4 linked regions of the Saccharomyces cerevisiae S288C genome follow. Changing the gene in region 4 together with the main gene of any one other region gives a genetic interaction. Each region holds a gene or a part of one and is shown on either strand. Other genes may lie near its edges.

Region 1 (8,980 bases), on a different chromosome or scaffold from region 4:
GCTGGTAGTCGAACCACACCGTCTTGAATCCCGAAGAACTGAGTATATTAGGCACTCCATTTTGCAGTAGGGCCTTAGAATTTGGTAGTTTAGGTACTACGTGAATACCCCTTTTGAAAACAAGCATTTCTCTGCGTCTTAGTTGCGCCAAGAAGACGATATTATGTGGTCTTCAGAAATTTGCCTGCAAAATATCCTCTTATTGTGAAAAGACTTTTGCTATACCCTTCTTACTTTTCCATGCTTTGCGATACTTCTTGCTCAGTCCAAAAAAGTACTGCGGCACCTCTCCTAAGATTCTTGGAAAGATGGGAAGTGAAAAAAAAAAATACAAAAAATAATGAGAGCTAAGGGATTCGAACCCTTGCATCCGAAGATATCAGAGATTTTAGAGGTTAAATCCACCTAAATCTGACGCCTTAAACCACTCGGCCAAACTCCCATTGTTTGTTGAATGGACTTCATAAACAATCGCATATCATTGATTGGTTACTTTTTAAGAAGGGATTGATGCCAAAGTCAGATGGTAACCATTGGATCAAGTGATAACACGTTTAAATGAAACAGTACCCATTTCTATAGACCAGATACCACGGAAGGATTACTGTAGAGGTGAGATATGAGATAGAGGGAATTGCCATTCGGTTAATAGCATATATAGGTTTTTATATGGAAGATTTGTGGGGCAATTGATTACCTTGTCAAAAATATATATAATATCTTGGAGCTGTAAAGGAAAGGCAATGTACAAAATCGACCAAGAGCTTTACTAAGTCTGGACAGTCGTTTGTCTGCCGATGTGGAAAAATAGCTTTCAATATAGTTATAGGAAGAATTTTCATAACAAGTGCGCGGTCTTGTTCCCCTTAACAGGTTCCGAACCTAGTATGGGAGAGGTTTCATTGACTTCGTTATATACTTCATTCAAGTTTGTAAGCCTACCGGCAATAAGGATTTGAAAAGTACGAAATGAAAAAAGACAAAACAAAAGAAGATTAAAGGTCAAACATAAAGGATAACACCGACATGCATAGAACGGCAATATTTCTAACTTACCGATCATGTATGAGAAATTTCAGTACACTGAGTAAAACATTAACGGTTTCTTCTGGTAAAGTAATCAGAAACGGTCCATTTAGGAGAGTAATTCGTGAAAAGAACCAAATAACGAAGGCGCCATCAGTAAAAGCATTTAAAGAAAATAGCAATAGCGGGATAATAAAAGTACATGATCCTATAGCTACTACGATACTTAATGAACCGACAGTTATTATCGAAAGGCAAATAGAATTTATGAACGTTTTTCTAGGTTTCGAGCAGGCTAATAGGTATGCCATAATGGATGTGAACGGAAACAAAATAGCATCAATGATGGAAAGAGATTTTTCTATAACAAAGGCCATAATGCGGCAGTTTTATCGTCTACATCGTCCTTTTTTGGTAGATGTCTTTGATAATTGGGGAAATGTAATAATGACGATTAAAAGGCCCTTTTCGTTCATCAATTCTCATATAAAGACTATCATACCTCCTTCCGCGTATGTTGATAATGGCAGTGACTCCACTCACTATCACGACGGTAAAGAAGGAACGACAGTAGGAGAGACCATTCAGAACTGGCATCTCTGGAGGCGTCGTTACGAATTATTCCAGAAAGATGGAGTAGAAGGATCCACTTTTGACCAATTTGGTAAGATAGATGCACCTTTCTTATCATTTGATTTTCCTGTAACAGATGCTGATGGTAAGATAATGGCGAGTGTAGACAGAAATTGGGTTGGTTTAGGAAGAGAAATGTTTACCGATACTGGTGTTTATGTTGTTAGATTTGATTCGCAGAGATGCTTTGATAATATTTATCCTACTGAGATGCTAAGTTCTCAAGTACTAACTTTGGATCAAAGGGCCGTGTTATTAGCAAACGCTGTGTCCATCGATTTCGATTATTTTTCGAGACATTCCAGACAAACTGGAGGTTTCCTTTCTTTTGGCGGTGGCTATGATGAGTAGGTGAATTATATATTTAAAAGAATTCTGTAAATACATATTTGACTACGCAGTAATAAAACAATTATTATTCCCAATTAGGGCCCAATCCTAGCATAGCAAAGTTTAATACATCTTCTTCATTTGCATTTTCCATATATGAGGCGACTCTCACTCTAACTAATTCCTGTTCAATCAAATCGGTGGCAGTTGGGTCACTCTTTCCCAAATAGAGGGGTCCGCTCAAATTCCTTCCATCCAGTTCAAATATCCCTCCGTTCTCTTCCACATATGTGATATAGTGTAGATTAGTATCTGCAGTTGCTTCTGGTGCTTCTGACTGGCCAGTAGAAAATGTTTGTACATTCTCTTTTATTACATTCAAGACGAATTGGTCGGTAGTAACATCATCAAACCTATTCTTCGAGCTTGAAGTATCACTTTGAGATTTTAAAAAATTGTCCAAGTCGGAGCCGGGCTCCAACAATGACTGGTTATTGCTCAAAGAATGAAGAATTGCATACAATCCGCACGCATTTTTGACTGATTGCTTAAACCATATAACATCATAAGAACTTGTAATTTGTTGACTGGTACTCGATTTTCTATCCTCGTTTATCGGAAATAGCAGCACAATGGCCTTCACTGGCCTTGGTAAGAATGCTAGTAACTCTGGCTCTGTTAAGCTATAGATATCGAAATACGCCCATTCATTTTTTAAACCTAATTTATGTGCAAAATTTGTAAAAACTTCAGGGTTTGATTCAATCGGCACCACAGCACGATTTTCTCCGCTCATACTTTTGCTATTGTATTTTTATAACGATTGTTACTTACTTGTTGATCAAAATACCCTTAATATCTCTTAAGTATGGACTTCCACCTTTATAGTCGACTAAATAAAAATACTTCTACTGAGGAAGTTTAAAACACGGAAAAATTGTTCCAGATCATTATCTGCACTGGTTTTTGGGGCGTTGATAGGCATGTTCACACTTCCTAACTCGACCACAGACATCTCCAAGAATACAAGGTACTTCAATCCGGGTAATAAAACGTCAGGAAGTTTTGAGAAGTTAATAGCTCATCACTGCATTCTCAAAAAATGCTTACAACTCTATGACGCCCTTAAAAAGAAAGGACTGGGTAAGAATAGCCTGCCTATTTTGGTGATACGTAAAAGAATCAACTTGTAGAGGTTAACTGGGGAGTATTACAATGATGGCAACTCCGGCTACTGATCTTATTTCCGATAATGATAAATATAACAAGCAATGTCTTTCTGATTCAAGTGATAGTGGTAGTGATGTAAGCTTTTTTTCCGTAAATGAAAGCGAAGGTGAATTGGATACAATGGAGAAAGTGGATACCTTGATTGGAGGTGCAAGAGTTATAAGCAATAAAGTAGAAAAAGACAGCGATAGTGAACAAAGGGGAAGAAAGAAGGAAACAACTGGGCCCAATAACTATCATAATTTAGAAGAGAAGCAAGCGAGTGCCATTTCTCTTGACGCTGATGATGAAGATCTCGATGAAATTATTTCTTATTCGCATGACGGGAACTATGACAGCTCTCATAAAACTTTCTCCTTTTCCTTACCATTTGGTAATACAAATTTCCGATCAAGTTCACCATTAGCCATAATTAAAACTGTGCTTCCCAAGACTCCAGATGAGTTCATCAAAAAGAATCTAAGAAAGAATGAGATCAAGCAAAAACTGAAAAAATCAACCTCCATTTCTTCCTTGGAAGAGATAGAATTATTTAAATACGAAAGGGGCATTGATAATTCAAGGTTAAGGGCTGTTAAAGAATCTTTGGAAATGGATGCCTTGAAGAACTCCATTAAGCAAATAACAGCAGACCCATTCGACAAAACTCATGACGGATATTACCGTTCGCGTTTAGAATCTATATGGAATGAATTGGAAGGAGATGTCGTTATAATGGGTGGATATCGAGGTAGTGTGCTAAGGGATGCTACTACTCATAAGCGAATTTGGATCCCATTAAAGGCAGGTTTGAATATGACGAAAGTCGATTTATTGATCGGACCTAATGACGAAGATGAACTTAAAACTCAGAAGGAGATTGTCCCTGATGGAATGCTAACACATATAGGGCCTGTTGATATCTCTAAGAGGTTGATAAAGAGGCTAGACGCAAATCCTAATTTAAATGTTCAGCAGTTTGGCTATGATTGGAGATTATCCTTGGACATATCTGCCAAGCATTTAACGACTAAACTAGAGGAAATTTACAATAAGCAAAAAAATAAGAAGGGAATATACATCATTGCCCATTCAATGGGCGGATTGGTCGCACATAAAGTGTTGCAAGACTGTACTCATTTGATAAGAGGTATTATTTACGTGGGTTCCCCAAGCCAATGTCCAAATATTTTAGGTCCTATTAGGTTTGGAGATGATGTGATGTGGAATAAAACTATTTTCACTAAAGAAACCAACTTTTTTATGAGAAGTAGTTTCTATTTTCTACCGTTAGATGGTAGATGTTTTGTTGACAAAATTACCTTAGAGAGGTATGATTTCGATTTTTTTGATACAGATGTTTGGAAAACCCTTGGCTTGTCACCTCTCGTCAATGAGAAAAGAGAGGAATCAGCTCACGAAAAATCAAAATTATTACCAAGGAAAACGAAATCAGCGCTTTCGCTTAAAGCTACCCTAAACGCAACTACCAAGTTTGTCCTAAATGCACCTGTTGTTAGGAATGTAGCCGGCAATAATAAACAGGTACCAAGGGATGTGCCTTTCGATGAAGTCTTCCATACATCTTATGAAGATAGCTGTGAATATTTAGCGAGAACTTTAAAACGTACAAAGAATTATTTGGATAGCTTAGATTACGACCCGAACAAAGAATATCCTCCATTGGCCATGGTTTACGGTAACAAGGTTCCCACTGTTAGAGGTGCTAAAGTGAACGGTATACAAGATATAAAAGATGGGAATTATGAAGATTTTTACTATGGTCCGGGCGACGGTGTTGTTCACCATAAATGGTTATTGCCTGAACAGAGAGGCTTTCCAGTTGTTTGTAAAATCGCCAGTTCTTCAGGTCATGTTAGCTTAATGACGGATTTGAAATCAATGGCAAAAGCATTCATATCTATCGTCGACAGCGAAAAAGAAGGAAGAAGATCTCGAACACGAACTTCTTCATGAAAGGCTTTTTATTCCTTTGTTTACTATTCATATCTGCATTTTTCTTTTTACCAAAATTCCGCATGTCAAAAAAAATCTGGCAACGCACCGCGAATAAAAATAAATAATATTTTTTTATCTTTAGTTGCCTAAATACTATTTATTTCGTCAATTTTACAACCTCTTTTATATACACCATTCGATTTCCCACGAAGTAAAATAATAATTCTATAAACAGATTTATCTGATATGCTCAATTTCCCCTCCCATTTTCATTATTGTCCTTCTTGCTCTTCCTCGATGTCAAAATTAACCTTCAGCCATAAGCTGCATGCGCTACATTGGGTTAATAATTGATAACCAGAATGACTCCGTTCCATAGCGTCTACATTATCAATGCATTCATCTAACAAACTCTCACTAAAATGAAAACCACCAACAAATTGACAGCGAGGACAATTCATCATAAACTCCAGCTTATCTTCATCAAATGAGAAATCGTCTAAGGAAAATTCATCCAGCCCATCACCACAATTATGAAATCCTTGGCGTTTATAGTTTTCAAGGATCAACCTATCATATTCGCGACGAGTTTTTATATTCGATAGTATTTTATAAGCATCTTGAATCTTATTGATTGTGACGTTGCTAACCGTATCATGTATGCTTTTAGAAAGTTTATCGGGGTGCGTATTTAGTAACCGATTCCTATATGCCTTTTTGATTTCATCTTGTGTTGCATCCGATGGAATTCTTAAAATTTCGTAGTGTGTTAACGAATTCACCAATGACATTTTCGCTAAATTTTCACACCAAAAGAAAGATTAAATTGGAGATAAATACAATACAAAGAGCGTGGTAAATTTCTTAGTTGATTGCGCTTATCTTTTGGCACCGATAGTGGTTTTTACAATGGTAAGACTAGTAACGTCACATCGAAGTCATCGCATCCATTTACAATTTTTCTGAAAATTTCCATCTCCAGTTACCCGCTCATAAATCTTCAAGAAAAGTCAATGATTTCCTTTTCTACCTCTAGCAGCTCCTTTAATCTTTGATTTAGATCGAAAGTCCTGAAAAAGCTACATGTAATATTAATACTTTGTGAAACGTAAACTAATTATATGTTCTATATACGTTATTCTACGGTTCGCATTTTCTTTTTATGGCGCGTCTGTGCATTCCCAATCGGTAGGCTCATAAGCATCAGGATGATCAAGAAATTTCATCTGTTCGTCTGACAGTTCAAAGTTGTAGGCTGCAAGGTTACCTTCTAACCTCTTCACAGTTTTAGTCTTCGGTAGTGGTAAATAACCGTGTTGTAAAGACCAACGAATCAAAACTTGACCTGGATTACGGTCCACCTCTTTGCAAACTTTTAATAAATCTGGATTAGTCATTTTGTAGCCGTGACACAATGGGGCAAAGGCTTCGACGACGAGACCTTTAGATTTACAGTAATCTGCTAATTCTTGTCTCATAATCCAAGGTGATATCTCGATTTGGTTGACCACTGGCTTGTGCTTCAGTTCTGGCCAGTTCAAAAGTTCATCAATGTGCTTTTTCCCATAGTTGGAAACCCCTATAGACTTAACCAATCCTTCATCAACCGCTTCTTGCATGGCGCGCCAAGTTTCCAACCTTAATTTAGAACCTTCCAGTGGCGAATGAATCAAAAGAAGATCGATGTATTGCAAGCCCGAGACTTCATTCAAACATTGCCGAATGGCAGCTTTAGCTCTTTTATATCCGTTTTGCGAATTCCATAATTTAGTAGTGTAGAAGATTTCCTCACGTTTATGGTTCCCTGGATCTTCGTTCAACCATTTAATGATACCATCGCCAACTTCCTTCTCATTACCATAAAGAACAGCAGTATCGAAATGACGGTAGCCGCACTTGACACCTTCATACACAATTTCGGCTGTTTGCGATCTTGGAATATCGTAGGTTCCCAAAGCAATGCTTGGGATTTTGAAGCCGTTTGAAAGTTTGTAAAACTTAGGAACCATGTTGTTGAGGTGAATTTTTTTTCTTCCTTCGGGCTAGGTATGCTAAGTTAATTACTAAAGTAAGATCAGTTGCTTATGCTCTTATATATTGGAGGTTGCGACAAGGGATGAAAGAAAGAGACACCTCCCCTCATATCGACACGACGGAATATGTATGATAACTACTTCATTGTTCTTTTCAGCACATTATTACTATTTACGAAAAAAGGGAGTAGGGAAAAATGGCGCGCTTATGGAGCCTCAAATAAGGACAAAAAAGTCAAGTAATGAATATCAAATTGAAATGAGTATGCTTACATAGATTTATTTGGTTTGTTTTCATTTTGTTTTTGTTTCTTATGTTGCTGCTTTATTTTGTGTAGGTAATAAGGAAGAATAGGGCGATTAATAATTGATCTTCTAGCCTATTTCTATTTTTTCTTTATTTCATTTTGTAGTCCCATTGTTCATCATCTACTTTAATGGCTTTGGCTTTGGTGTGTCATTCTTCTTGAATATACCCAAATTTTCTAAATGCTCCCTTACATATTCATAAACGGTAAAGGTGACAGCCTGACCTGGAGCCACCCTCATCACTCTTGGGGTAATACCCTTGTACAAAGCTCTAAAACCTTCTTCTTTCAGTAGTTGAGCACCAATGGTTATGATTTTCTTCATACCGGACTGTTTTTCCAATGAGATGGACTTATCCTTTTGCAGCCTTGTCTTTATAGTATCCAATGGAGCGTTGGAAAACGGCCCAATAGCACCCGAAATCAAACCTATGCAAGAAGTTTCCCATGAAGGTAGGACATCCATCTGATGGTAATTCTGCAAAAACTCCTTCAGTTTAGAATAAACTGTGAAGTTAGCACCCTGATTAGTTGCTTGCCTTGCCGCAGTTAAGGAAACGCCTCTATATAAGGCAGAAACACCTTCTTCTTTGACAATAGTGTAGGCTGCATGAATGGCGTTGTTATATTTAGGACCAGCATTTGGCTCACTCGGAGTTAAATGCTGAGCTTGTAACCTAATCTTTACAACTTCCATCGGGTTCACGACAAGAACAGCTTCGGTGATACCAGCCCCAACACCAGCAACAAAAGTATTACCGGTAGACACAATTCCTGATTCCTTGTTAACCAATAAGGTTCTATAGAATTCATAAGACGAGAAACGGATTGCCATCTTAGGTATAATACCGATGACCACAGCACCTAGACCTTTATACAGAGCCAAGAAACCTTCTTTTTGATAAATGGTACGCCCAGTTTTAATAAATCCTGGGGGTTTAACATGTTCAATACCAGCTACCCGTCTGTATATTTGCATTCTCACCTTAATTGTATCTAAAGGATGACAACACAATGCTTCAAATAAACCTGCTGTGCCGCCAGCCATGAGATTGATGGCTGGATGGGAAGCCTTCTTTTTTTGAGACATTTTTCTTTCTTCTTCTTTGTTATGTTATCTTACGGCTAAAACTAATATAAACTTCTTTCTTGAATCAAGTATTCTTAGTTTTAGTAATAGGGAAGATGCCAAGTTTCTTTCAATGACTCAATTGATAATATCTTCCAAAATGCTTTGCACTTTACTTATGAAGCAGATAGAAAACAAAGGGGGAAACGCCAAGAACAAGAAGAACTACAACAAGAAAGTTAACAAAACGAGAACAAGTAGTAAGTGAACTATATATTTATACATAAGATATATGCAAAATGTGACATTACGGTTTGTAAAAGGTAGTAACTCCGTGGCGACAAGAATCTCAAAGGATTGGTTAAAAGATAGCACCTCGAGCAGTAGTACTACCGTATATCATCATTGCCTCC
Region 2 (8,864 bases), on a different chromosome or scaffold from region 4:
TCACCCAGAAACAGGTGCAGACCAACCATTTCGAGATCTAGATGTTGCCTATTTCTCGAGGAAACGCTGCCGTTATCGCCATGTTTGGTGGAACAATTGTGAAACGTGATCAATTCGTGTTTGCAAGCTAGTGATCATTCGCATCCGAAAAAGAAACTGAAAATGTAAAACTCCAGTAAAACGAGACCTGTTGATGGATTGTTTCGTGTCTGGTATATATTATTGCTACTGCTCAAGAGAGCTTCTTTTTTTATGCTATCGAACTCGATCTTTCGCTCCGAAACACCTAACACTAACAAAAGGAATACCTGACAGAATACGCTATCAAAAGAACGAATATGACTAGTGCAAGTATTACCAATACTGGAAACGAAACCATGAACCTTCCACAGATGCGGTCGATTTGGCTGGATGAAGATGAAGAAGCTGAAAAACTCTACGGTCTGCAGGCCCAGCAATTCATGGGATCTGATGATGAAGAAAACCTAGGCATTACTTTCATCAACAGCGATAAACCTGTGCTGAGTAACAAGAAAAACATTGAGTTGCCTCCACTTTCACCAAATTCACATCCGTCTTGCCACCACAGGAGAAGTAATTCTAACTCTGCAAAGTCTAAAGAATCATCGTCATCATCGTCCAGCGCCAACAAGACAAATCACAAAAAGGTTTTCCTTAAGCTTAATTTGTTGAAGAAAAAGTTGCTTGGTGCCCAACCGGACATAAGAGGTAAAGGTATCTCCACACCATTTGATTTTCAACATATTTCACATGCTGACACTAGAAATGGATTCCAAGATGAGCAATTGCAGGAACCTTCATCGCTGTCCACAGAGATTAAGGACGACTATACCTCCTCCTCAAGCAAGCGGGATTCGAAATCACTAAATAAAGCTTTTGTCACTGAAAGGATCCCTGCTAATCGTGAAAGCAAACTCATTTCAAGATCGCACGAAAATAAGACATCAAGACTATCAGTCGCGCGTTCGATCTCAGTAACGTCCTCCAATTACTCTAAAAACACACAAGGAAACAATCATTCCATTAATGGGAGAGTCGTATCTACGTCAACTATGGCTACATCTATTTTTGAGTATTCCCCAAACGCATCTCCAAAACAATTTAAAAATAAGTCACACGCTCTGGGTCATAGATACACTAATTCCACGGATTCTAGTGAGTCTTCGCTGGATTTTTTGAAGAACTACAACTTCCCCACACTACTTGAAGATAAGCCTATTTTAGACTTCTTGCCTCGTTCTCAGAGGTCAAGCGCTTATCGTAGCCTTTTAGAGACCCCAAACTCAAATAAGGACTCAGCAAAAGCCTTCTTTCCTTCACGCCAAAGCCCTCTTCCCAAGAGAAGAAACTCTATAGCTACGCCTTCTCCACAATCTAAATTTTCCTACTCTGACTCCCCTGTAAACCATAGAAAATCTTTCGATGATGTTCTTTATTCTTTCAACCAGCTCGAGCCCCTGCAAACTTAAGCTAAGGACAGAAAATGAAAAAAAAAAAAAAAAAAAATTCAAAGAATCAGCTTATAAAACATATTCAAGGACCATCTGAAGTATCATTCATTCGTTTTTTACTCGTTAATCTCATTCATTCGTTTCCTCATTCTTTTTTCTTTGTTCTTTATTTCGGCTATTTTTTCACTATTAAAATAACTAGAGCTAACAATATTATTTCTTCTGCTTTAGTTACAAAACAAGGACATTCATTTAACTTGGCGTTATCCCATACATTCGTTTATTATATCTTCTTTTAAAACACAATTTCTTTTACAGTTAAACTTTTCTGATTTATTATATATTACTTAAGATTGTTCATATAACTAACATTTATATGCTTATATGCGTGAAGTGCGCTTTTGTAGAACATGTGGCTGTTTCTGTAGAAGCCTTGTCTTTCTCTGTAATCCTTTAAAGGCCAACCGTACGTGCTTAATTACAAGCTTTGTTCGCATTGCAAGAAAGTTAGAAAAAAAATCAATTCTGAAAGATAATTATAATTCAAACGGTAAACCATTGGTTAAAAGAGGGACATAACATTTCACTAGTTCAATACATTATATGCTCTTTAACAATGACAGATAGATTAACACAATTGCAGATATGTTTAGACCAAATGACGGAGCAATTCTGTGCTACTTTAAACTACATAGATAAGAACCATGGTTTTGAACGATTGACCGTAAATGAACCTCAGATGTCCGATAAGCATGCCACAGTAGTACCTCCTGAGGAATTTTCTAACACGATAGATGAGCTATCCACGGACATTATACTTAAAACAAGACAGATAAACAAGCTTATTGACTCGTTACCTGGTGTTGACGTTTCAGCTGAAGAGCAATTAAGGAAGATTGATATGTTGCAGAAAAAGCTAGTTGAAGTGGAAGACGAAAAAATTGAGGCCATCAAAAAGAAGGAGAAACTTTTAAGGCACGTTGATTCTTTAATTGAAGATTTTGTAGATGGCATTGCAAACTCAAAAAAGAGCACATAAACTTAAGTTTTACAAAGAAATTTGCGAACAGAGGACAGAAAATGTACTATAGTTATATGGCAGAGTTAAGCGTATGTATGTTATTCTTATAAATAATTGTGCTACTCTATTTGTACCGGAGAATTATTGAAGCAATGGGAGAAAAATCATAATGGAGAAAATCTTTCTACGAGTTACTTTGCAAGGCAATCTAACGATTCTAAAAGACACAATACACTAAAGAAAAAACTTTGGAAGTACAGTTTTTTCCCCAAGTTGAAGTGTGGACTCATTGTGAAGATGTAAAAATGTAAAAACCAACCGACAATGCACTCCCAGCCAAATTCATTGTAGACCTCCCATTTGATAGAAAAGGAAGGTTCAGCAGTTGTCCACGGATTCCAAGATATCATTCTCTTACATTGCACGCACATGAAAATGATCATCGAGAGTAAGGATCCATACCATGCAAAATTAAACCAAACTGGAGAGTCTGTGTCTAACGTAATTGGCCATTTTTCCACGGCGAACGCATCTTCAAAAGTGACCTTATTTTTACCGTATTTAATATAGTAATTGTACTTGTATTGTTTGAAAATATATTCTTTGAAAAGATAAAGAAATTGTGACCAAGATAAGGTATGATTGAATTCTGCTGAAGAACTTATTTTGCCGATATAATATTCTATCATTGGGACTTGGAAATCGACTGGTAGTTGTACTGAGTCTATTAGAAAAGTGGTTCTTGGTATTACTGGGTACTCCATACATAGGACTTCTTGCTCAAAGCGGCCCCATTCAGGTAACCGAAGATCATGGCCCAATAGCCCACATCTCTGGCCGTTATTGTAAAAGCGTATCTCTGATTGAAGCGGTTTAATGTATTTATCATCTGCGTTATCCTTTTTATCATTGTTGATTTCATCTTTAATCAGGAGAACATCCCATCTCTCATCCATTCCTCCTTCGTAGTTTGAATCTTTCGTGCATGAAATTTGAAAGTCATAGTCCTGCTCGCTGATGGGAGGTTTAGCAGTGCTGGCTCTCAATAATTTTCCAGTAGATTTGTGTCTTAGTTTTATACTTTGACCAAATTCTACAGGTATCAATTGATCAGCATGGTATACCTCAGAAAAACTCAAATTTAATGTAGGATGTTCTATTAACCATTCATTGTCTGCCGCGAATTCTTCAAATGATAACGCTACTAACTGTTCGTCAACATCTGATGGATACGAAATATCGTGAGAAGCAAGATATCCGACCATAGAATCTAAATGACGTAATGTGATCGTTGATCCATAGTACAATCGACTCGGTTGTACTTGAGGGCCTCTTAAATAGGACTTGAAATATGTGCTCATATATTTTGAAAATTGTGGCGTGTCTGTCTTAAAATTCGAAAGTAAGTTCGAATAACTTATTATGAAGATGGAACCAGGGATAATCAAAACGAATAATAGACAGAGAATGACAAATTTTATTATTTGGATGGTCGTAACTTTAACGTCGCTTATCAGTCTATCAAATTGACGTACAAAAGAAAGAATTACGAAGGCCCAAGTGACAATTCCAATAAATTTAGAAGAGATTGCCAGCCCTAAAGAAATAGATAATGTAATCACATTAGCAAACCAATTCGTAGTTCCCAGTTTTGCAATTGAAATGCTTATAAAACTGTAAATTACTACTGAGAACAGACACCATTCTAAACTGTCAAATGATATAATAGTGCCCTCATTTCTGAAAGTTTCCCAGTTGGATAATATCAGCAAACCTGTTGCTGAAATTAAACGAGAGCAATTGATTCTCCTTGTTATCAGGAAAAGAAAACCTAAAGTCGATGAATTCAAAAACAAAGAAACGTATCTTAAATTTTCTGCGATCTTTAATCTTCGAATAATGGAGTAGAACTGTATTGTAAATGGTGGCAATTCATGGATGTAAAAAGCCTTGTCTAGGTAAAACTGAATTAATTGGGAAAGTTCTTGTTCACTATTATTGTCCCATGGTCGGTTCCAGAATGAAGAAGAGTGCGATTTCCATATTAATGTGAAATTGGTAATAACAATCAAAAACGCGAAAATATAATCAAGCGTCTTTAAGTGACCAATTCCACATTGTTGGAAAATATTATAGGGAATGTACTTTCTGTAGGGCCCCTGTAATCTCAAGTCCTTCATGTTTTGTAAGTTAATTTTTTTCTGTTCAAACACTATCGCCCTTAAGTGTCTACGTTCTTATTCTCCTTAAATAATAACATTTTTAGTATTCGATTTTCTATTTTTCCTTTCTTCATTACTTCATTACCAAAGTAAGAGTGACCGATGTAGGAAGCAATATTGAAAGGAAGGGAAGGGGAGCACAATGAAACAAAGGGTTAGTGTGATGAAAACGACAGGAAGTAACTATAAGAAGCAGTAAAGTTGAGACTTGCTGCACCATTTTTATTGCCACACCTTTATTAGTTCTTTATGAATCCTAAGCTGTCATCCGTAATATTGTTCCAATAGTGTAGCGGCTATCACGTTGCCTTCACACGGCAAAGGTCCCGAGTTCGATCCTCGGTTGGAACATTTGTTTTTTCACTACTACTATATTTTTAGTTGAATCCTAGGCCACATTTAATTGACTAATAGACTTAAGATCGAGATTAGTAATCTTCTGACTTTTTTCTACTGTGTAATTGTTGAATGATAGTCTCTATTTTATTGTTAAAGCCCTGCGGCCGGGTTACCTCTTCATGAGGGGTAAGGGTTGTCAATACAAGATGTGTCTAGTATTGAGAGTAATATGACGGCATCGTCAAGATTTGTACATCGACAAACATGTGCAACAGCTCTAACACATAATCATATCAACCACAGTACTCAGTAATGGCAAACAAATCACGACCCAAGAAAATCAAGGCTCCTTACAGGAAGTACGTGGCGGGAGAGGGTTTCTCCTCTACAAGAAATGATAATAAGGCTAAAGAATTCACTATCACTATACCGGAGGATGCAGAACTCATTGAGACTCCACAGGGGTCTTATTACTATGATGAAACCAATGATACTATAGTGAAATTGACACGACTGAGTAATGAAAAAAAGGATAAAAAAGGACGTAAGCAGTCGCCATCGTCATCATCGACATCGTCCTCCAAAGGAGAAAAAAATGGCAAAGTCATAGAGAGTGAGGAAGCGAGGATGCATTCAGTATCAGTAAAGATGGTTTTGCCATGGGAGATACAGCATAGAATAATTCATTATCTTGATATACCAGAGAAAGAAGAAAAATTAAATAAAACTGCTAATGGAAAAAAAACTACGACTGGTATAAATATGAACTACTTACTAGTTTGCAGAAACTGGTACGCCATGTGTCTACCAAAGCTTTATTATGCACCAGCGTTAACAAGTAAGAATTTCAACGGGTTTGTTGATACAATAATCATAAATAAAAAGAAGAATTTAGGACACTATGTTTTTGAGTTGAACTTGTCTACAATTTTACAAAGTGGTAGAAATTCATTTGTCTCCAAGCTTTTACGACGATGCTGTTCTAACCTAACTAAATTCATCGCACCACAGACAAGCTTTGGTTACGCGCCTTTGATTTCATTGAAATCGTGTCATGATTTGAAATTTTTAGACTTGGGTTTAGTATCGGAAACAGTTAAGCTGAAGGAGTTATTTTCTGCCATTAAAAATTTCACTAAATTAACGCATTTATCTTTTCCCAGATCGTCGATTGACTGCCAAGGGTTCCAAGATATTCAATGGCCACAGAATCTCAGGTACTTGAAATTGAGTGGAGGTATAACAAATGAATTTGTGATTGATACGAAATGGCCAACAACTATTACAACTTTAGAATTCTCTTATTGTCCTCAAATAACGGAATTGTCTATTTATTCGTTGTTATCACAGATCGGTGATAATTTAAAGCATTTATTTTTTCATTATCCGATGCCATCTCTGGCAGAAAATTCCCTAGACCATGTCTTCACGTACTGTGCTAATTTAATTTCTTTGCAGCTCATGGTTGATTACTGTTCTAAGTGGTGCTTTTCTGAATTCATGCTAAGTAAATTGGTGGAATATGATAGGCCTCTTAAAACATTGTACTTAGAATGCAGCGGATCCTTGGGATTAGCTTCTAAGATTCATCCCGATGACTTGACTATAGCCATACTGGAATCCAGGCTGCCCTGCCTAAAGAATATTTGTGTTTCTCCCAAGCTGGGGTGGAACATGAAAAGCGATGAAGTCGCTGATTTGGTAGTCTCTTTGGAAGATCAAGATGGCAGTTTATATCTTAATTATTAAAATGTTCATTGTTTGTTTTATAAGAGTCAGTGTTTTCTTTTAGACACTATTAGGAAGAATTATTTTATCCGGCCTAAAAAAAATATTTTACATGCAAACTTGCATATATTTTGCCATTGACACCAATTAGAATGTGTAATTTTCCTGGTTTATACGTTTCTCAAGATATGGTCGAATCTTCTTTTCTGCTCAATTGTAAGAAGCGAAGAAAAAAAGGAAGCTCCATTGATCTATCTTGGGCTCAGAATGATCTTAAGCAAAACAAAGAAACCTAAAAGCATGAATAAGCCAATATATTTCAGCAAGTTTCTTGTAACTGAACAAGTTTTCTATGTATGCACTCTCATATGTTTTTTTGTACCCCATTCGCACCATTGCGTTACTAACTATATGGAGACCTTATAATCTCTGCTTCTTTACAGAAGTCAAAATATACGTATGCATTGGTAAACTTGAAACCAATTGTACCCGGACATGTACTGATCGTTCCACTGAGAACTACGGTTTTAAACTTATCAGATCTGACCATGCCTGAATCTCAAGATTATTTCAAGACTTTACAGTTAATACATAGATTTATTAAGTGGCAATATAAGGCTGACTCTATCAACGTTGCCATCCAAGATGGACCTGAGGCCGGACAGTCGGTACCCCACTTGCATACACACATTATTCCACGTTATAAAATAAACAATGTAGGGGATTTAATATACGATAAATTAGATCATTGGGATGGTAATGGGACTTTGACTGATTGGCAAGGAAGAAGAGACGAATATTTGGGTGTTGGTGGTAGGCAAGCAAGAAAAAATAACTCTACATCGGCCACTGTAGACGGGGATGAACTCTCACAAGGTCCTAATGTCTTGAAGCCAGACAGTCAAAGGAAGGTTCGAGCTTTAACCGAAATGAAAAAAGAAGCTGAGGATCTTCAAGCCAGACTAGAAGAATTTGTATCTTCTGATCCTGGTTTAACACAATGGTTATAGTTCAATAAATAATAGATTCATACTTACGATATAAAAAATAGTAGGGAAGTTAATTTTCGTTTCGCAGCGAATCCCTTTTAGCAGAGGAAAAAAAAGATGAAACCATCCTTACTACTTTCCTCGAGGAGACTCAACAGTAAAGGTTACTTTCAATTCAATAAACAAAAGGCACAGCGATATCCGCAATTATGAAGCTTCAATTTTTTTCCTTTATTACCTTATTTGCTTGTCTCTTCACAACAGCCATTTTTGCGAAAGAGGACACGGCAGAAGATCCTGAGATCACACACAAGGTCTACTTTGACATTAATCACGGTGATAAACAAATTGGTAGAATTGTTATGGGATTGTATGGTCTCACCACACCCCAAACCGTTGAAAACTTTTACCAGTTGACCATTTCCAGGGACCCTAAGATGGGTTATTTGAACTCTATCTTCCATCGCGTTATTCCTAACTTCATGATTCAAGGTGGCGATTTCACTCACAGATCAGGTATTGGGGGTAAGTCTATCTTCGGAAACACGTTCAAAGATGAGAATTTTGATGTCAAACATGACAAACCAGGCAGATTGTCTATGGCCAATCGTGGTAAAAACACCAACGGATCCCAATTTTTCATCACCACCGTCCCATGCCCATGGTTGGACGGTAAGCACGTTGTCTTTGGAGAAGTCTTGGATGGTATGGACGTAGTTCACTACATTGAAAACGTTAAGACCGACAGTAGAAATATGCCTGTAAAGGAAGTTATTATTGTGGAAAGTGGTGAACTGGAAACTGTTCCTTTGGACAATAAAGACGCCGCCAAGCTACAGGAAGAGATCAAAGCGGAAGCTAGCGAAGCAGCCCACGATGAACTCTAAACTGCATCACTATTCAGGAGATGTATAGGCCAGCTATGTAACTATATAGTGCTTATAACAGTTGATTATCACATAGAACGAGTATGTTACCCTATGGCCCTTTTCTGGCACAACTTCACAAGAGTATTTCAATTGACCAACGTGGGTCTTGTTGACCAGCTGGGATCACACAGACCAAGAACTACCTTTATTATTAGGAACATACT
Region 3 (7,913 bases), on a different chromosome or scaffold from region 4:
AGAGGATGACACTATCACGATGTTTGACATCCTTAATTCGCAAGAAAAGCCTATCGTTTTGAACAAACCGAACAACTCCTTTGGTTTAGATGCACGTGTTAACGACATCACAGATTTAGAATTCAGTAAGGACGGATTGACGTTATATTGTCTAAACACCACAGAAGGCGGTGATATCTTTGCATTTTATCCATTTTTACCGTCAGTATTACTGTTAAATGAGAAAGATCTCAACTTGATCCTAAACAAATCTTTAGTAATGTACGAGTCCCTGGATTCTACAACAGATGTTATAGTTAAAAGGAATGTTATTAAGCAGTTACAGTTTGTGTCAAAACTGCATGAAAATTGGAATTCAAGATTTGGCAAAGTCGACATACAAAAGGAATATCGTTTAGCCAAGGTTCAAGGACCATTCACGATAAACCCCTTTCCCGGCGAGCTGTATGACTATACTGCTACAAATATTGCAACCATACTAATTGATAATGGGCAAAATGAAATTGTTTGTGTCAGTTTTGATGATGGGTCTTTAATCTTACTCTTCAAAGATTTGGAAATGTCAATGTCGTGGGATGTTGACAATTACGTGTATAATAATTCTTTGGTTCTAATTGAACGAGTCAAACTACAAAGAGAAATTAAGTCTCTAATAACGTTACCTGAACAGTTGGGAAAACTTTATGTCATTTCCGATAATATTATACAACAAGTAAATTTTATGAGCTGGGCTTCTACATTGAGTAAATGTATCAACGAATCGGATTTGAATCCACTTGCAGGATTGAAATTTGAAAGTAAACTTGAGGATATTGCCACCATAGAAAGAATTCCAAACCTAGCGTATATCAACTGGAATGACCAATCTAATTTAGCCTTGATGTCGAATAAAACATTGACTTTTCAAAATATTTCAAGCGATATGAAACCGCAAAGCACCGCAGCTGAAACAAGTATCAGTACAGAAAAAAGTGACACGGTAGGAGATGGTTTTAAAATGAGTTTCACACAGCCCATAAATGAGATTCTTATTTTGAACGATAATTTTCAAAAAGCCTGTATTAGTCCATGTGAACGAATTATCCCATCAGCAGACCGCCAGATACCTTTAAAAAACGAAGCTAGTGAAAATCAGTTGGAAATTTTCACGGATATTTCCAAAGAATTTTTGCAAAGAATTGTTAAAGCTCAAACTTTGGGTGTTTCTATCCACAATAGAATTCATGAGCAACAGTTCGAATTGACGCGCCAACTACAATCGACATGCAAAATAATTTCAAAGGATGATGATTTAAGGAGAAAATTCGAAGCACAAAATAAGAAATGGGATGCACAACTAAGCAGACAGTCAGAATTAATGGAGAGATTTAGTAAATTGAGCAAGAAGCTATCTCAAATCGCCGAATCCAATAAATTTAAAGAAAAGAAAATAAGCCATGGTGAGATGAAATGGTTCAAAGAGATACGAAACCAAATATTGCAATTCAACAGCTTTGTTCACTCTCAAAAATCCCTTCAACAAGATTTATCGTACTTGAAGAGTGAACTAACTCGTATCGAGGCAGAAACTATCAAAGTCGATAAAAAGAGCCAAAACGAATGGGATGAGCTACGCAAAATGCTTGAAATAGATTCAAAGATAATTAAAGAATGCAATGAAGAATTGTTACAAGTTTCTCAGGAATTTACTACTAAAACTCAATGAGTAAGCGACTTGCATAGTCTGCTATCATATATGTACGCTAAGAAACAACTGGGCAATGGTATAATATCATGTAGCAAGAGGACATTATATATGAATTGGTCAATATATAAAGCCTTCTGTGCACCAAATCGTTAGGATGATTTTTCAGTATGCTGTATCATTGTATCGTATATTCATTCGTATCTCTTTTACCTCACTAACCGCTGCCAAAATTTACATGTATACAAAATAAAAGTCTTTTTTATGACCTTATTTGGTGAGTAATGCTACTTTTGTAAAGAGTGATGGAAACTATTATTCCAAAGGGTTAGAAGAAGGTGAGGAATACGTTCATATCACCGCTACAGATCGTGTCTCTCGGTTATGAGTAATCAAACCCTCTGCAAGCAACACAGTTACTTTTTTTCGGTTTTTTCTTTTCGTGTGAATTTTTATCCAGTGAGTTTCCTTGTTCACTTTCGAGAATGGAAGGCTGATTTCGAATTTTTATATTCAACAACTGTATTTGTATTAGGCTTTGCAATAGTAGATGAAAAGTGCAGAAGACGAATCTGCTACCCTCACAATACAAAGAAAAACAAAATCGTCATTTTAATATAGGAAGACACCGCTCAGGTAATTCAATATTGAATCTGGTTGCACTTTTCTTACGATGTAAATACCCACAAACTTCTTGTACGGTGAGCGTCTGACAACGAAATCAATTTACGGAGCAAGGATTTTGACAGTAGAGCAGATTGTTTTGAGTAGGATTTAGGAATCAAGACCTCCATCTTTGTCGCATTATTCCTAAATGTAACGTAACTCGTTTGATAAGAGAATGTCTAATCGAAGAGAGTTAATAACTTAATAAGCTCTTTAAAAGAACGATGGCATTTATCGTCTCCTATGCCAAGATAATTACTGGCTCAAAATTGTTCAGCGTTCATAAAACTTTGATATCACTTTCTGGCGCACAAGCTAACCTTTATGTAGTTCTTACGTAGATTCTTTTTAGCAAGTGCCTGGTAGTGGTTATTACATAAATGTATCTTTTCATTTGATAACAATTTCTTCAGTAGCATGTCGTGTCTAGCACGTGACGTAGAACTGTGGCTTTTTTGTTGTCATTATGACAATCAAGATACCAAAATTCAGTCATGTTTAAAAGGGGAAGGTACGATAGAGATATATATAAAGTGTTCAATTTACTATAATTGCGTATAGAATCCATTGTTACTTGCTCTCAATGAAACAACGATTCATTCGTCAATTTACGAACCTAATGTCTACTTCGAGACCGAAAGTTGTTGCCAACAAATATTTCACTTCTAACACTGCCAAAGATGTTTGGTCGCTAACCAATGAAGCCGCTGCAAAAGCTGCCAATAACTCCAAAAACCAAGGCCGTGAACTTATTAATTTAGGCCAAGGCTTTTTTTCATATTCCCCTCCTCAATTCGCCATTAAGGAGGCTCAGAAAGCCCTAGACATTCCAATGGTCAATCAATATTCTCCAACTAGAGGTCGACCTTCATTAATTAATTCCTTGATTAAGTTGTATTCTCCTATTTATAACACAGAATTGAAAGCGGAAAATGTTACCGTAACAACAGGTGCCAATGAAGGTATACTTTCTTGCTTGATGGGGCTTTTGAACGCTGGCGACGAGGTTATTGTTTTTGAACCTTTCTTTGACCAATATATTCCAAATATCGAACTTTGCGGTGGTAAAGTTGTTTACGTCCCCATAAATCCTCCAAAGGAATTGGATCAAAGGAATACTAGAGGTGAAGAATGGACCATTGACTTTGAGCAGTTCGAAAAAGCGATTACATCCAAGACAAAAGCTGTCATTATCAATACCCCTCACAACCCAATTGGTAAAGTTTTCACGCGCGAGGAATTAACCACTTTAGGTAACATTTGCGTCAAGCACAACGTTGTGATTATATCTGATGAAGTCTATGAACACCTTTACTTCACTGATTCTTTCACTAGAATTGCCACACTCTCTCCAGAAATTGGGCAACTAACCTTAACGGTCGGTTCTGCCGGTAAATCGTTTGCTGCTACTGGTTGGAGAATTGGTTGGGTCTTATCCTTGAACGCAGAGTTGTTAAGTTATGCAGCTAAGGCACATACAAGAATTTGTTTTGCATCTCCATCCCCTCTACAGGAAGCTTGTGCAAACTCTATTAACGACGCTTTAAAAATTGGGTATTTTGAAAAAATGAGACAGGAATATATCAACAAATTCAAAATTTTCACATCGATCTTTGATGAATTGGGACTACCATATACAGCTCCAGAGGGTACATATTTTGTCCTCGTTGATTTCTCTAAAGTGAAAATTCCCGAGGACTATCCCTACCCAGAGGAGATCCTGAATAAGGGAAAAGATTTTCGCATTTCTCACTGGTTGATCAATGAATTAGGTGTGGTTGCCATTCCACCAACTGAATTCTATATCAAAGAGCACGAAAAGGCTGCTGAGAATTTGTTAAGGTTTGCAGTTTGTAAAGATGATGCTTATCTAGAAAATGCCGTAGAGAGATTAAAACTACTCAAGGACTACTTATAAGATAAATTTTTTTTTATACTCCTTTTTCTCAATATATAGATTTTATAAAGCATGTATATTTTTATGCAGAAGTGGTAAATATAAACATCAATATTCCAGAATAATTCCATATTTTCTTCGCGTACTACAAGAAAAAGTGAACCCTTAATGAAAAATAGACAATATGAACATTTAGTAATGTTTTGAACAGTGTATTTATAGAGTACTTAAACACATATGAAGATATAGCGCAAGTAAATATAAATGAGTGACAAATCTCATCAGATATATTGCTACTTTTGGCTCTTTGGTTTGATCAATAATGTACTTTATGTGGTAATACTTTCAGCAGCTGTTGATATCGTGGGTCCTACCTTGCCTAAATCTCTAGTATTGCTAGCAGATATATTCCCATCACTCGCCATTAAATTGTGTTCCCCATTCTTTATTGATAGAATCAAGTACAGCTATAGAATATGGTCTTTGATCACGATGAGTTGCTTAGGAATGTTCTTAGTTTCTTTTAAAAACTTGTTTGTTTGTCTTTTAGGAATATCTTTCGCATCTATATCTTCCGGATTTGGAGAAGTGACATTCCTACAGCTAACACACTATTACAAACAAATTTCTTTGAATGGATGGTCGTCAGGTACTGGTGGTGCAGGAATCATTGGCGGAGCATCTTATATGTTCTTAACTTCAATCTTTAAAGTTCCAGTGAAGCTAACTTTACTAGTATTTAGTCTCCTTCCATTTGCATTTTTGTTTTATTTTAAATTAGAATCCAATGATACCAACCTGACTTACCAAAGTCTTCAACAAATTGACGAAGCAGAGGATGACCAGTTGGTGCCCTTTCCTGTCGCCTTTACACATACCAACGCTTCGCAATCCCTGTATTCTACAAGACAGCACATTTTGCAAACGGTCAAGAGACTTCGAAGATTGGTTTTTCCATACATGGTTCCATTGACCACCGTCTACTTATTCGAATATTTAATAAACCAAGCGGTAGCTCCGACCCTATTATTTCCGATTAATGGTGATGAAAGAAGTAAATCGATGCCATTTTTCTTCCATAAATACAGAGATATATACGTAACCTATGGAACGCTCTACCAATTAGGTGTCTTTATATCAAGATCCTTTGGACATCTTATGAGAATGAGGAGTTTATACATCTTAGCGTTTTTACAAGGTGTGAATTTGTGCATAACGGTACTGCAATCATGGTTTTATGTCACACATTCGCCCTGGGCGGTGATGATATTAATATTCTATGAGGGTTTTCTTGGTGGTGCGTCATATGTTAACACATTCTTAAATATTCTCGAACAAGAGGATCCTGATGAAACAGAGTTCGCCATGGGTGCTGTGTCCATCGCTGATTCCTTTGGCGTTTTTTTGGCTGCGTTACTTGGTTTGGGGCTAGAACCCAAACTTTGTAGGCATCAAATTGCCGATGACAGACCTTGGTGTAGGATGGAATAAAGTTTTGTTGTGATATTAAATAGGAGATTGAAATAAAGTGTTAGATGCTTTCTATATACTCATTCTAATGCCTGCTAATAACTCTTCGATAATTCGTTGATTTCTATCATTACTTTGAATGGTACTCAATATGCCAAAACACTGCAGTAATGTCAATTTATCTGTTTCTGTGACATTACTTTCTTCTTCTTGATTGAAAATGTAAAGTTGAAAACTTTTGCTGATACCATCGTTACTATTTACGAAGTTTTCATAACAAGGTAAGACTATTGAATCTCTAAAGCACATAAGCAAAAGAAACCCAATAGAATAATTACCATTAATGTGAGTCCGACTTTCATTGCCTGACTTTAAAACCGTAGAATTACCATCTTCTCTGATACTCTGATCCAACGGTAATAACACAGCGGCTAAATCATAATATACCTCTTGATAAAATATCCGCCATATAACGCCTAATCTTTTCAATGCGTTATTTATTGTGTCTTCATTAGAATAGTTAAAAACAATTTGGTTTTCTAAATTGTATAGGGAACTAACCAAAAATTCTTTCAAATCGCTGATAATTCTATTCATGCCGCTATGTGTGACTCTTGGATCTGTTTTTAAAATGCAATAGAATTCTAAAACTTCGTTAAAATTTTCTATTTTGGCCCTGAGTTTCCATATTCTTTGAGTTCTGAATAATTCTGCTACGTTACTACAAAATATATTCCAAATATTATTTGTTAGGGTTGTCAGTTCTTGGGAGTTGAAGTGTTTATAGTTAGCTTCCAGAGATGGTAAATTTCTTAAAAGGTCGTGTAACATTGAGACCGGATTCGGTGAGGCAGGATCAGTTCCAGAAAGCGGATCCTCAACGATTGTGTTGGGATTGACACCAGATGGATTAACATTCAATGAGTACACAGAAGTTCCTGAGTCCACAAGTTGCCCCGCATTAGTATGAATAAATTGTGACGGAGATTTATGTCTTCCGTAAGAGGAATGCAGAAATTTACTCAAGGAATTTGGAATTGCAGGCTCGATAGCATCTTGACCAATGTGCCTGTGGCTTTTATTTTGGAAAAAGTTCTTAATCACGTTTCGAAATGAATGTGAACTATTATGTAAGGTGCTTGAATCTGTCAAAAAGGAGGCAGGATCCGATGAAATGGTCGTATGTGCTCTGTTTCTCCTATTAAAAAAGCCAGAAGCCTTTCCTTTCATATACCTGCCGGAGGGCGTGGAGTGTAAACTTTTCTGAGTAATGGATATTGCATCAGAAGATAACTTTTTAGATAGATTGTTCGAGCACTCCACCGTGTCAACGCTATGAGATTCCCCTATCTGAGAAGAACCAGATTTAGATGTTGCAGCTGAGGCATTGTCATTGCTCCTCAAGGAATGATTTGAGGCCACACTGACCTTCGATCGAGGATGATCTACTGTATGGAATATGGATTGGAAGCCAACGTTAGAAACACTAGGGCTAATGGGGTTCCTCGAGCCCTTCAAATTCTTGATGGAATAAACGTCATCATTTGATGTGTCTACAAGAGTTTGCCGGCTAATCTCGCTTGTAGTCTGAAAATTTTTTACTGGGGCTGTGGCTAATTGCACATTAAGGTATTGTTCGCTATTGACAGGGCGTTGTGTCGTAGTAGATGTTCTTTCTCGAAGGAGTATATCTTCTGCTGTCATAATGAAAGAACTTTATTTCTACAGAGGTCAATTGGCGTTTCTGTCACCTAGATCTTTTCATTTGGTTATTCCCTCTATAAATTTACTCATCGGTCAATTTTTCTAACATTATGCACCTTTGTCACCGGCCCTTAGAAGAGGTGAAGATGATTCGTGAACATTGGTGATAAGCGAGAATATTTTCTATAAATTTGTAAAGTAAAAATAAATTACGTGCTATTTAGTTTGCAATGTGTACTTATTGTTAGTATATGTATTTTTTGCATGCGGCGATGAAGGCCAGTAAAACCAACGCTCTTGCATGCTTACCTCTTTCATCAGCTGGTGATTTAAAAACCATTCCCAACAATATCAGTGACATATAAGAGAGCCACGACCCCGTTTTGGTACACTTAAATATGATTATCGTTAATATCATAGAAACTAGTTTGTAACAAACCTGGATTGTTCTATTTAAAGCAGAATACTTTTGGAGGTTTTGGGTTGATACGG
Region 4 (7,663 bases):
TTGACTTCGCAATTCCCTTAAACAAAAAAAATTTCTTTTGCCCTCCCTCGACGATTTTGGAGTAGAGAATACCTTAGGCCTTTTTTTTTCTTTTTTCTCACGGCTGCTCTTCCTCTTTTTCGCATATTCTATTTTATCATCGACTTCCCTAATTCGCACTCGTACCAAAATGTTAAGCAGTATGGCGAAGAACGTGGCGCGCTGGAGTCGTGAATGTTTGGGTCCTTGATGATGGACTACGGTAGTAAGTATGTAGTAGTTGCAACTTCATATGTTCACTTCTGATCCAAGGAAGAGCGGTTATGAATTAATCTCTTGGCATGAGCGGACGGGTAAGGGGACACCGCCTTTTCTTCGATGGGAATCAGGGTAATGGTATATGATGGATTATTGTGGAATCATTTAGTACGGCAGATGTTGAAAAAAAAAGCAGAAAATTTTTGAATTTTTTTCGTTGACATTGGAAGATTTCGTAGTGGAAACAGCTGCAATTGCTTGTTAAGTAGTAACCCCTCCTTTGTCACAAGAGAGCGAATATTCTTTCTAGGGAGGTTTAAGAATAGAACATCTCACACCAGACGCGACTCATAATTCATAATGCCAATTGACCAAGAAAAATTAGCTAAGCTACAAAAGTTGTCTGCTAACAACAAAGTTGGTGGTACTAGAAGAAAGCTTAACAAGAAGGCAGGCTCTTCTGCCGGTGCCAACAAGGATGACACCAAGTTGCAAAGTCAATTAGCTAAGTTGCACGCTGTCACCATTGACAACGTCGCCGAAGCCAACTTTTTCAAGGACGACGGTAAGGTCATGCACTTCAACAAGGTCGGTGTCCAAGTTGCTGCTCAACACAACACTTCTGTATTCTACGGTCTACCACAGGAAAAGAACTTGCAAGATTTGTTCCCAGGTATTATCTCTCAATTGGGCCCTGAAGCCATCCAAGCCTTGTCTCAATTGGCTGCCCAAATGGAAAAGCACGAAGCCAAGGCTCCAGCTGATGCTGAAAAGAAGGATGAAGCTATTCCAGAGTTAGTTGAAGGTCAAACTTTTGATGCTGACGTCGAATAAATAACTTAATCTTTAATTTTAACGTTAAATAAAAAAACACATATTTTGTTCCATTTTTTTTCATTTTTTTTAGCATATCTAAAGCATATAATACAAACACTGTTTTCTGCAAAAAAAAAAAAATAAAAAATAAAATATAAAAAAACAATATACCACACTATGCTGCACACGTGAAATGATGAACTTGTACGTCACCACTTTGTGCGCAAAAAATTGGCAAAAGTAGAGAACATGTCACTAACTGTATCGGAATATTACAACGTTTTTTTATTCTACTTATCTCAATGGCTAAAGTATATATCTATCTATATATGTATGTGTAGGTGTGCTGATGGAGACAAATACGTTTTCCTCTAGCCTTACAACAGGCCGGTACCATTCTTTATCGCATCCTTGATGAGCTCATCTACATCAACGTCTGAACCTTCACTTAGTTTCTTTCTGTTTCTTTGACAGGTCAGTGTGTTAGAATGTCTTTTTAGAGCATCCTTCCTGGCAAACCCTTTGCCACAGTTTGAGCAAATATGCGGCAGCACGAGTGAGTGTACCTTTTCATGTCTTCTCAGATCAGAACTTCTGCTGAATTTCAACTGACATTTCGCACAGCTGTAGAGCTGTGCGCCTTCCTTGCTATGGTTGTTACCTCCTGTTCTTTTTGTTTGTGTTTCTGGAATCCTTATAAGACCTCTAGCCATATTTTCCGGCTCCCCAGCCTTTAAAACATTTTCTGGTGCTGGTATAACTGCGCTCAATGGGCTGGATTGTCGAATTCTGTGGAGTAGCTCTCGTATTATGGGGTCCGTATGAGTGGGACTTGATGAGATTACCGCTATAGCTTCTGCCGCTTGTTTGAGAAATATTTCATCTACATTCATGTCTTGCGCCAGTTTCATATGCACATATAGACTATCGACTGTGTATATTGAGCCCAACTTGTTAATGATCAAATCTCTTTACGTACTGAGGAACGGCTTTTTCTTTTTCTTACCCATGTTATATTTTGCATTAGAACAAAAAAAAAATTGATGGGCTAGCAAAATTTTTAGACTAAAATTTAGAGGCAAGATATGGTTCTGTAAGACTCGAAAAAATTCTCATAATATATACTTGCTTGTGTGAAAGTGTTCTTTTGTTTTGTTTTTTTTTCTTGTGTATAATTATACATGTTTTTTTTGCCTTTTGTACTCAAGAAATCATAAATGGAAATAAAAATGACCCTTGAATGATGAACAAAACGACAAACCATACTTTATTAAACTATCCTAAAAGCTTCTTGTACTAACTTTTTACCCATTTTGTTAAACTCCTGTAATTCTGTCACCAAAACATATCCGTTACTTTGACCCGACCATTCACCAGAGTCACTTACTTGGGTGGGTTCGATCCCACACTCAATTAATGATCTAGAATGCAAACCATTTGGTGTGTCTGGGATAAACGTAGTTTGTCGATATGTATCGGCATCAGCCCCCATGCTATGCGTTTCTTCATGTTCCGACCGCCTATCTTGGCCTTCCCCATCGGAATGGCTATGAAGCGAGTATGCCCTTGTATGTACATGTAGATCATCAGCTGACCTATTGGTAGAGAAAAAAGGTGATGCTGATGAATTGGAGTTCATAAAAGAACTTCTGAGGAAGTACGAATGTTGTTCACGTCGAGATAACATTTGCCTGCGTTGTTGTCTACTCCGCCGAATAAGTACAGGCCTCACAATAGAACAACAATTTATCACTTCTTCCAGTGGCAAGCCTGTTATCTGGGAATAGAGATGATAGGTTTCATCCCTCGTGGTAATCCTGTCGCGGTCATCGCCTACAACATTTGGCACACTTAAGATGAAAGCAGCTACAAATAGTTTGTGTAAGCTGAACTTTAAAAACTTCATGTAGTTAGTTTCCTTCGAGCAGCAATCTAGAAACTTGATGACAATGCAACAGACCTTTTTGAACTGTAAATGCGATGATTTGGCTCTGTGTAGGATTATTTCTAAAAATTTGGTTGTTTTCAAATGATTTGTGCCAATAATTGCATTGTCATCATCACTAGGCATGGTAACTAATAGGCTCGCATACCGCTGCATAATCCCCTTAGTCACTTGCGCTATCATGAACTTTTTCAATACCACTTTTTGCTTTTTAAATGACAACTCAGCAGATGCCATGTTATCAGCACCGCTCAAATTATACTCCTCTTTCAGCATCCCCCAGCGTGAATAATTCTACCCCGTATTCTTTAAATATTTAACATAGATGGCGATGATGTGTCGCCCCATATAATGTACTTTAAAAACAATAAAATCCTGTTCTGAAAATGTCGATTCTTTTTCCGCAAGCGAGTTAAGAAACGCAGAAAAACAGCAAATATAAAGGACCAAGGCTAGAAGTTATGGAACACAGTATACTAAGAACGATCTTTAGCTACTTATGAAGCGCTCCAGGCTTGTGCCTCAACATATCTTTAGCATTATTAGCAAGCGATATCTCGCCAAACATGCCTACCAAAAAACATTAAACTTGCCCAAGACCAAATTCCCTAATAGATCAAACTTAGAGATTACATTGAGGGAATTAATACCAAAATCTTCGCAGTTAGTTTACAAGGAGCAGCTACGTGATTTCTTCGAAGAATTTTCAAAGCTTAATACGACTGATGAAAAATTAGAGTTCATTAAAGAAAAGTTGTTCATCTTACATGATGGACCGCCCTATGCCAACGGCGAGCTCCATCTCGGTCATGCTCTAAATAAAATTCTGAAAGATATCATAAACAGATATCAACTTTCACAGGGGAAGTACATTTTTTATAAGCCTGGCTGGGATTGTCATGGACTACCCATCGAGATTAAAGCTTTGAAAGATTTAAGCGCGCAACAGATCGAGTCAATATCGCCTTTAAAAATCAGGTCAATGGCTTTAAAACATGCACAAAAGGCAATCAAGAGGCAAAGGGAAACTTTCCAACATTTTGCCATCTTAACGGACTGGGAAACACCATACCTAACAATGGATAAAGACTATGAAATTAATCAGCTAAATATTTTTAAAGAAATGTACGAAAGAGGACTGATTAAGAGACAGAACAAACCGGTTTACTGGGGTACAGAAACTAGAACAGCGTTAGCAGAGGGCGAATTAGAATATAATGAAAACCATAAATCCATCGCTGCTTATGTTAAATTTCCTCTTGAAAAGAAATCCCAGATGGATCTGTGCAAAAAACTAGGAATAACGAATAACTTGCCTATATACTGTTTGATTTGGACCAGTACTCCATGGACTCTTCTCTCTAATCGAGCAATCTGTTTCAATCAGGATTTTTCCTACTCCCTATTACGCTTAAATAGTGAACTTATCCTTGTAGAGACCGGCTCCATTGATAAATTGGGCCTAACAACTAACTCATTTGAGACTATCAAACAGTTTCAAGGAACTCATCTAAATGGGCTATATTATCAAAACCTCTTAGTAGACGATAAGGTTGGCAGGCCCTTATTACATGGTGCACACGTTACCAGCGGTACAGGGACTGGATTGGTTCATACAGCACCAGGGCATGGACAGGATGACTATCTCATTGGTATTCAAAATGGTCTTGAAATTTATTCTCCCGTGGATCACCAGGGCCGCTACCAATTAAATGAACTTCCTCAGTCCGTCAGATCCATCGTGAGAGATGAAGGAGACTTAACAAAAGGTAGGCAAGTATTGGATGCCGAAACCGCGAAAATCATTCTATGTAAGTTAAGCGACCTTAATTTACTTTACAAATCTCACGAATACACGCATTCTTATCCGTACGACTGGAGATCCAAGAAACCTGTCATAATAAGAGCTACTCCACAGTGGTTTGCAGATTTACACGATGTAAAAAACTTGGCTCTGGAAAGCATCAGCCGCGTCAAGTTTTGTCCTAAAAGAGGCTATTCAAGACTTTCATCCTTTATGAAAAGCAGAAATGAATGGTGCATATCTAGGCAACGCTCATGGGGTATCCCTATATTAAGCTTTTACAAGAAGAGCGAACCGGATTCTGTTTTGATGAATTCAGAAATTTTGGCACATGCCATAGAAAAAATCAAACAAAAAGGAATTAATGCATGGTTTAACGATAAAGATAATGACATGAAAGAATGGTTGCCAGAAAAATATCACGACGTAGCGCATGAATACTGTCGTTCTCAAGATACTATGGATGTGTGGTTTGATAGTGGGTCGTCATGGAGTGTGATCAAAGACTTTTATGAAAAAAGCTTAAAGTTGTCAAAACTCCCATCCCCCCTGTACCAAGTTTGTCTAGAAGGATCTGATCAACATAGAGGATGGTTTCAAAGTTCACTGCTAACAAAAGTAGCATCAAGTAATGTCCCTGTTGCACCATATGAAGAAGTGATTACTCATGGTTTTACCCTAGATGAGAATGGTCTGAAAATGTCAAAATCTGTGGGAAATACAATTTCTCCCGAAGCAATAATTCGAGGCGATGAAAACTTAGGCTTACCAGCTTTGGGTGTTGATGGCTTGAGGTATCTGATAGCACAATCGAATTTCACAACTGATATAGTTGCTGGCCCGACTGTGATGAAACATGTAGGAGAAGCTCTAAAAAAGGTTAGACTAACTTTTCGCTATTTATTGAGTAATTTACAGAAGTCCCAAGATTTCAACCTTTTGCCGATTGAACAATTACGCCGTGTTGATCAATATACCTTGTATAAGATAAACGAACTGCTGGAAACGACGAGAGAACACTACCAAAAGTACAACTTTTCCAAGGTTCTCATTACTCTACAATATCATTTAAATAACGAGCTATCGGCGTTTTATTTTGATATCTCAAAGGATATTTTATATTCCAACCAAATATCGTCATTGGCAAGAAGGCAGGTCCAAACAACGCTTGTCCATATACTAAATGCATATAGGGCAATTCTTGCACCAATATTACCCGTTATGGTCCAAGAAGTATGGAAGTATATACCAGAAGGATGGTTACAAGGACAAGAACATATAGACATTAATCCGATGCGTGGAAAATGGCCGTTTTTGGACTCAAATACGGAAATCGTCACCTCCTTTGAAAACTTTGAACTAAAAATTCTAAAACAGTTCCAGGAGGAATTCAAGAGGTTAAGTCTAGAAGAAGGTGTCACCAAAACAACACATAGTCACGTTACCATTTTCACCAAGCATCACCTCCCATTCAGTTCTGACGAGCTTTGCGACATATTGCAATCATCTGCTGTTGATATATTGCAAATGGACGATAATAATAACAGTCTACCAACTATTGAATTGGGAAGCGGAATAAACGTTCAAATATTGGTTGAACGAAGCAAAAGGCACAACTGTCCCAGATGTTGGAAGGCCAACTCAGCCGAAGAGGATAAATTGTGTGACAGATGTAAAGAAGCTGTGGATCATCTCATGTCTTGAATGACATGTACCTTTCCTGTATATAAAGAATGCCAATTATTGGCTCTTAGAAAATAAAAACCCTCTTGTACTTATTAGTGGGTACCTAACAGGTCCCCTACTGACATTTTGATGCAGGGCCTCGGCCTATTGTTCTTACCAGCTCTCAGCGCGTTATACGAACAGGAAGCAAAGAAGAGAAATGTAAAAATATTGCTTTTGAGAGACCGTGTAAGGATAAGTGTTACACCCAAGGCACCCTCACCAGGAACATGACTGTCATGAATCTTTTCTTCAGGCCCTGTCAACTGCAGATGGGCTCTGGACCGTTGGAGCTCATGCTTAAAAGGCCAACGCAATTGACCACGTTTATGAACACCAGGCCCGGCGGATCAACCCAAATTAGATTCATATCGGGAAATTTAGATCCAGTGAAAAGAAGGGAGGATAGACTACGTAAAATATTTTCCAAGTCACGACTTTTAACAAGGTTAAACAAGAATCCTAAATTTTCACACTATTTCGACCGCCTCAGTGAGGCCGGCACGGTTCCAACACTTACATCATTCTTCATCTTGCATGAGGTAACTGCCATACTACCACTGTTTCTACTATGGTGGTTACTTTATAACCTCGATCTTTCTGATGATTTTAAGCTCCCAAACTTCTTAAATGGCCTAATGGATAGCTGTCATACAGCTATGGAGAAATTTGTTGGTAAGAGATATCAGGAATGCCTCAACAAAAACAAGTTGATTTTATCTGGCACAGTAGCCTACGTTACAGTAAAATTACTATATCCGGTACGCATTTTCATTAGTATCTGGGGAGCACCATATTTTGGGAAATGGTTGCTTCTTCCCTTTCAAAAATTAAAGCACCTTATTAAGAAATAAAGCTTTTTTTTCCTTTTTTTTTTCTGGCCCAGAGACGGATTATTGTTTTCAGTTGAAGTTGCGCACTCGGCATATGATTTATAGATTCCCAATATATTGTACTTCGTTATATATGTGTTACGAATATTTTTGATTTCGTTTTAGAGAGTTTTGATTAGAGGAAATTATAGCTTTTTTTAACAGTGAAATAAATATCATACATCAAAAGTCTTCAAGAATTACGTGGTGTGGCTTAAGTTGCGTTTCATTTTCCCGCTTCAATACTTGAAAGTTATCCCACAA

Evidence for each region.
Region 1: mutations in YPL039W (region 4) and YJR098C together harm fitness more than expected from each alone (negative genetic interaction), as found in Saccharomyces cerevisiae (one large-scale study listed by BioGRID).
Region 2: mutations in YPL039W (region 4) and PMT7 together harm fitness more than expected from each alone (negative genetic interaction), as found in Saccharomyces cerevisiae (one large-scale study listed by BioGRID).
Region 3: mutations in YPL039W (region 4) and YHC3 together harm fitness more than expected from each alone (negative genetic interaction), as found in Saccharomyces cerevisiae (one large-scale study listed by BioGRID).

Annotation. Positions count from the first base shown.
Region 1 is NC_001142.9:609,381-618,360, reverse strand, and holds YJR098C (uncharacterized protein), read left to right. Parts: upstream 1-3,204; coding exon 3,205-5,175; downstream 5,176-8,980. Other genes in the region: mitochondrial 37S ribosomal protein mS42 RSM26, read right to left, coding at 1-127; AIM25 (Aim25p), read left to right, coding at 1,027-2,010; ubiquitin-specific protease YUH1, read right to left, coding at 2,075-2,785; JJJ3 (Jjj3p), read right to left, coding at 5,430-5,948; YJR096W (aldo-keto reductase superfamily protein), read right to left, coding at 6,318-7,166; SFC1 (Sfc1p), read right to left, coding at 7,620-8,588.
Region 2 is NC_001136.10:1,071,674-1,080,537, reverse strand, and holds PMT7 (putative dolichyl-phosphate-mannose--protein mannosyltransferase), read right to left. Parts: upstream 4,674-8,864; coding exon 2,685-4,673; downstream 1-2,684. Other genes in the region: GIC2 (Gic2p), read left to right, coding at 339-1,490; SRB7 (Srb7p), read left to right, coding at 2,089-2,511; PFU1 (Pfu1p), read left to right, coding at 5,367-6,803; HNT2 (bis(5'-adenosyl)-triphosphatase), read left to right, coding at 7,050-7,136, 7,226-7,792; peptidylprolyl isomerase family protein CPR5, read left to right, coding at 7,981-8,658. UniProt on the Saccharomyces cerevisiae protein: Probable protein O-mannosyltransferase involved in O-glycosylation which is essential for cell wall rigidity. Transfers mannose from Dol-P-mannose to Ser or Thr residues on proteins.
Region 3 is NC_001142.9:320,453-328,365, forward strand, and holds YHC3 (amino acid transporter YHC3), read left to right. Parts: upstream 1-4,511; coding exon 4,512-5,738; downstream 5,739-7,913. Other genes in the region: linker nucleoporin NUP82, read left to right, coding at 1-1,705; BNA3 (kynurenine--oxoglutarate transaminase), read left to right, coding at 2,934-4,268; BIT61 (Bit61p), read right to left, coding at 5,790-7,421; protein kinase IKS1, read right to left, coding at 7,666-7,913. UniProt on the Saccharomyces cerevisiae protein: Plays a role in vacuolar arginine transport. Involved in pH homeostasis. May be involved in ion homeostasis together with IST2. Not necessary for mitochondrial function or ATP synthase degradation.
Region 4 is NC_001148.4:474,836-482,498, reverse strand, and holds YPL039W (uncharacterized protein), read right to left. Parts: upstream 3,275-7,663; coding exon 2,324-3,274; downstream 1-2,323. Other genes in the region: EGD1 (Egd1p), read left to right, coding at 598-1,071; MET31 (Met31p), read right to left, coding at 1,431-1,964; YPL038W-A (uncharacterized protein), read right to left, coding at 2,126-2,317; isoleucine--tRNA ligase ISM1, read left to right, coding at 3,498-6,506; MRX11 (Mrx11p), read left to right, coding at 6,758-7,381.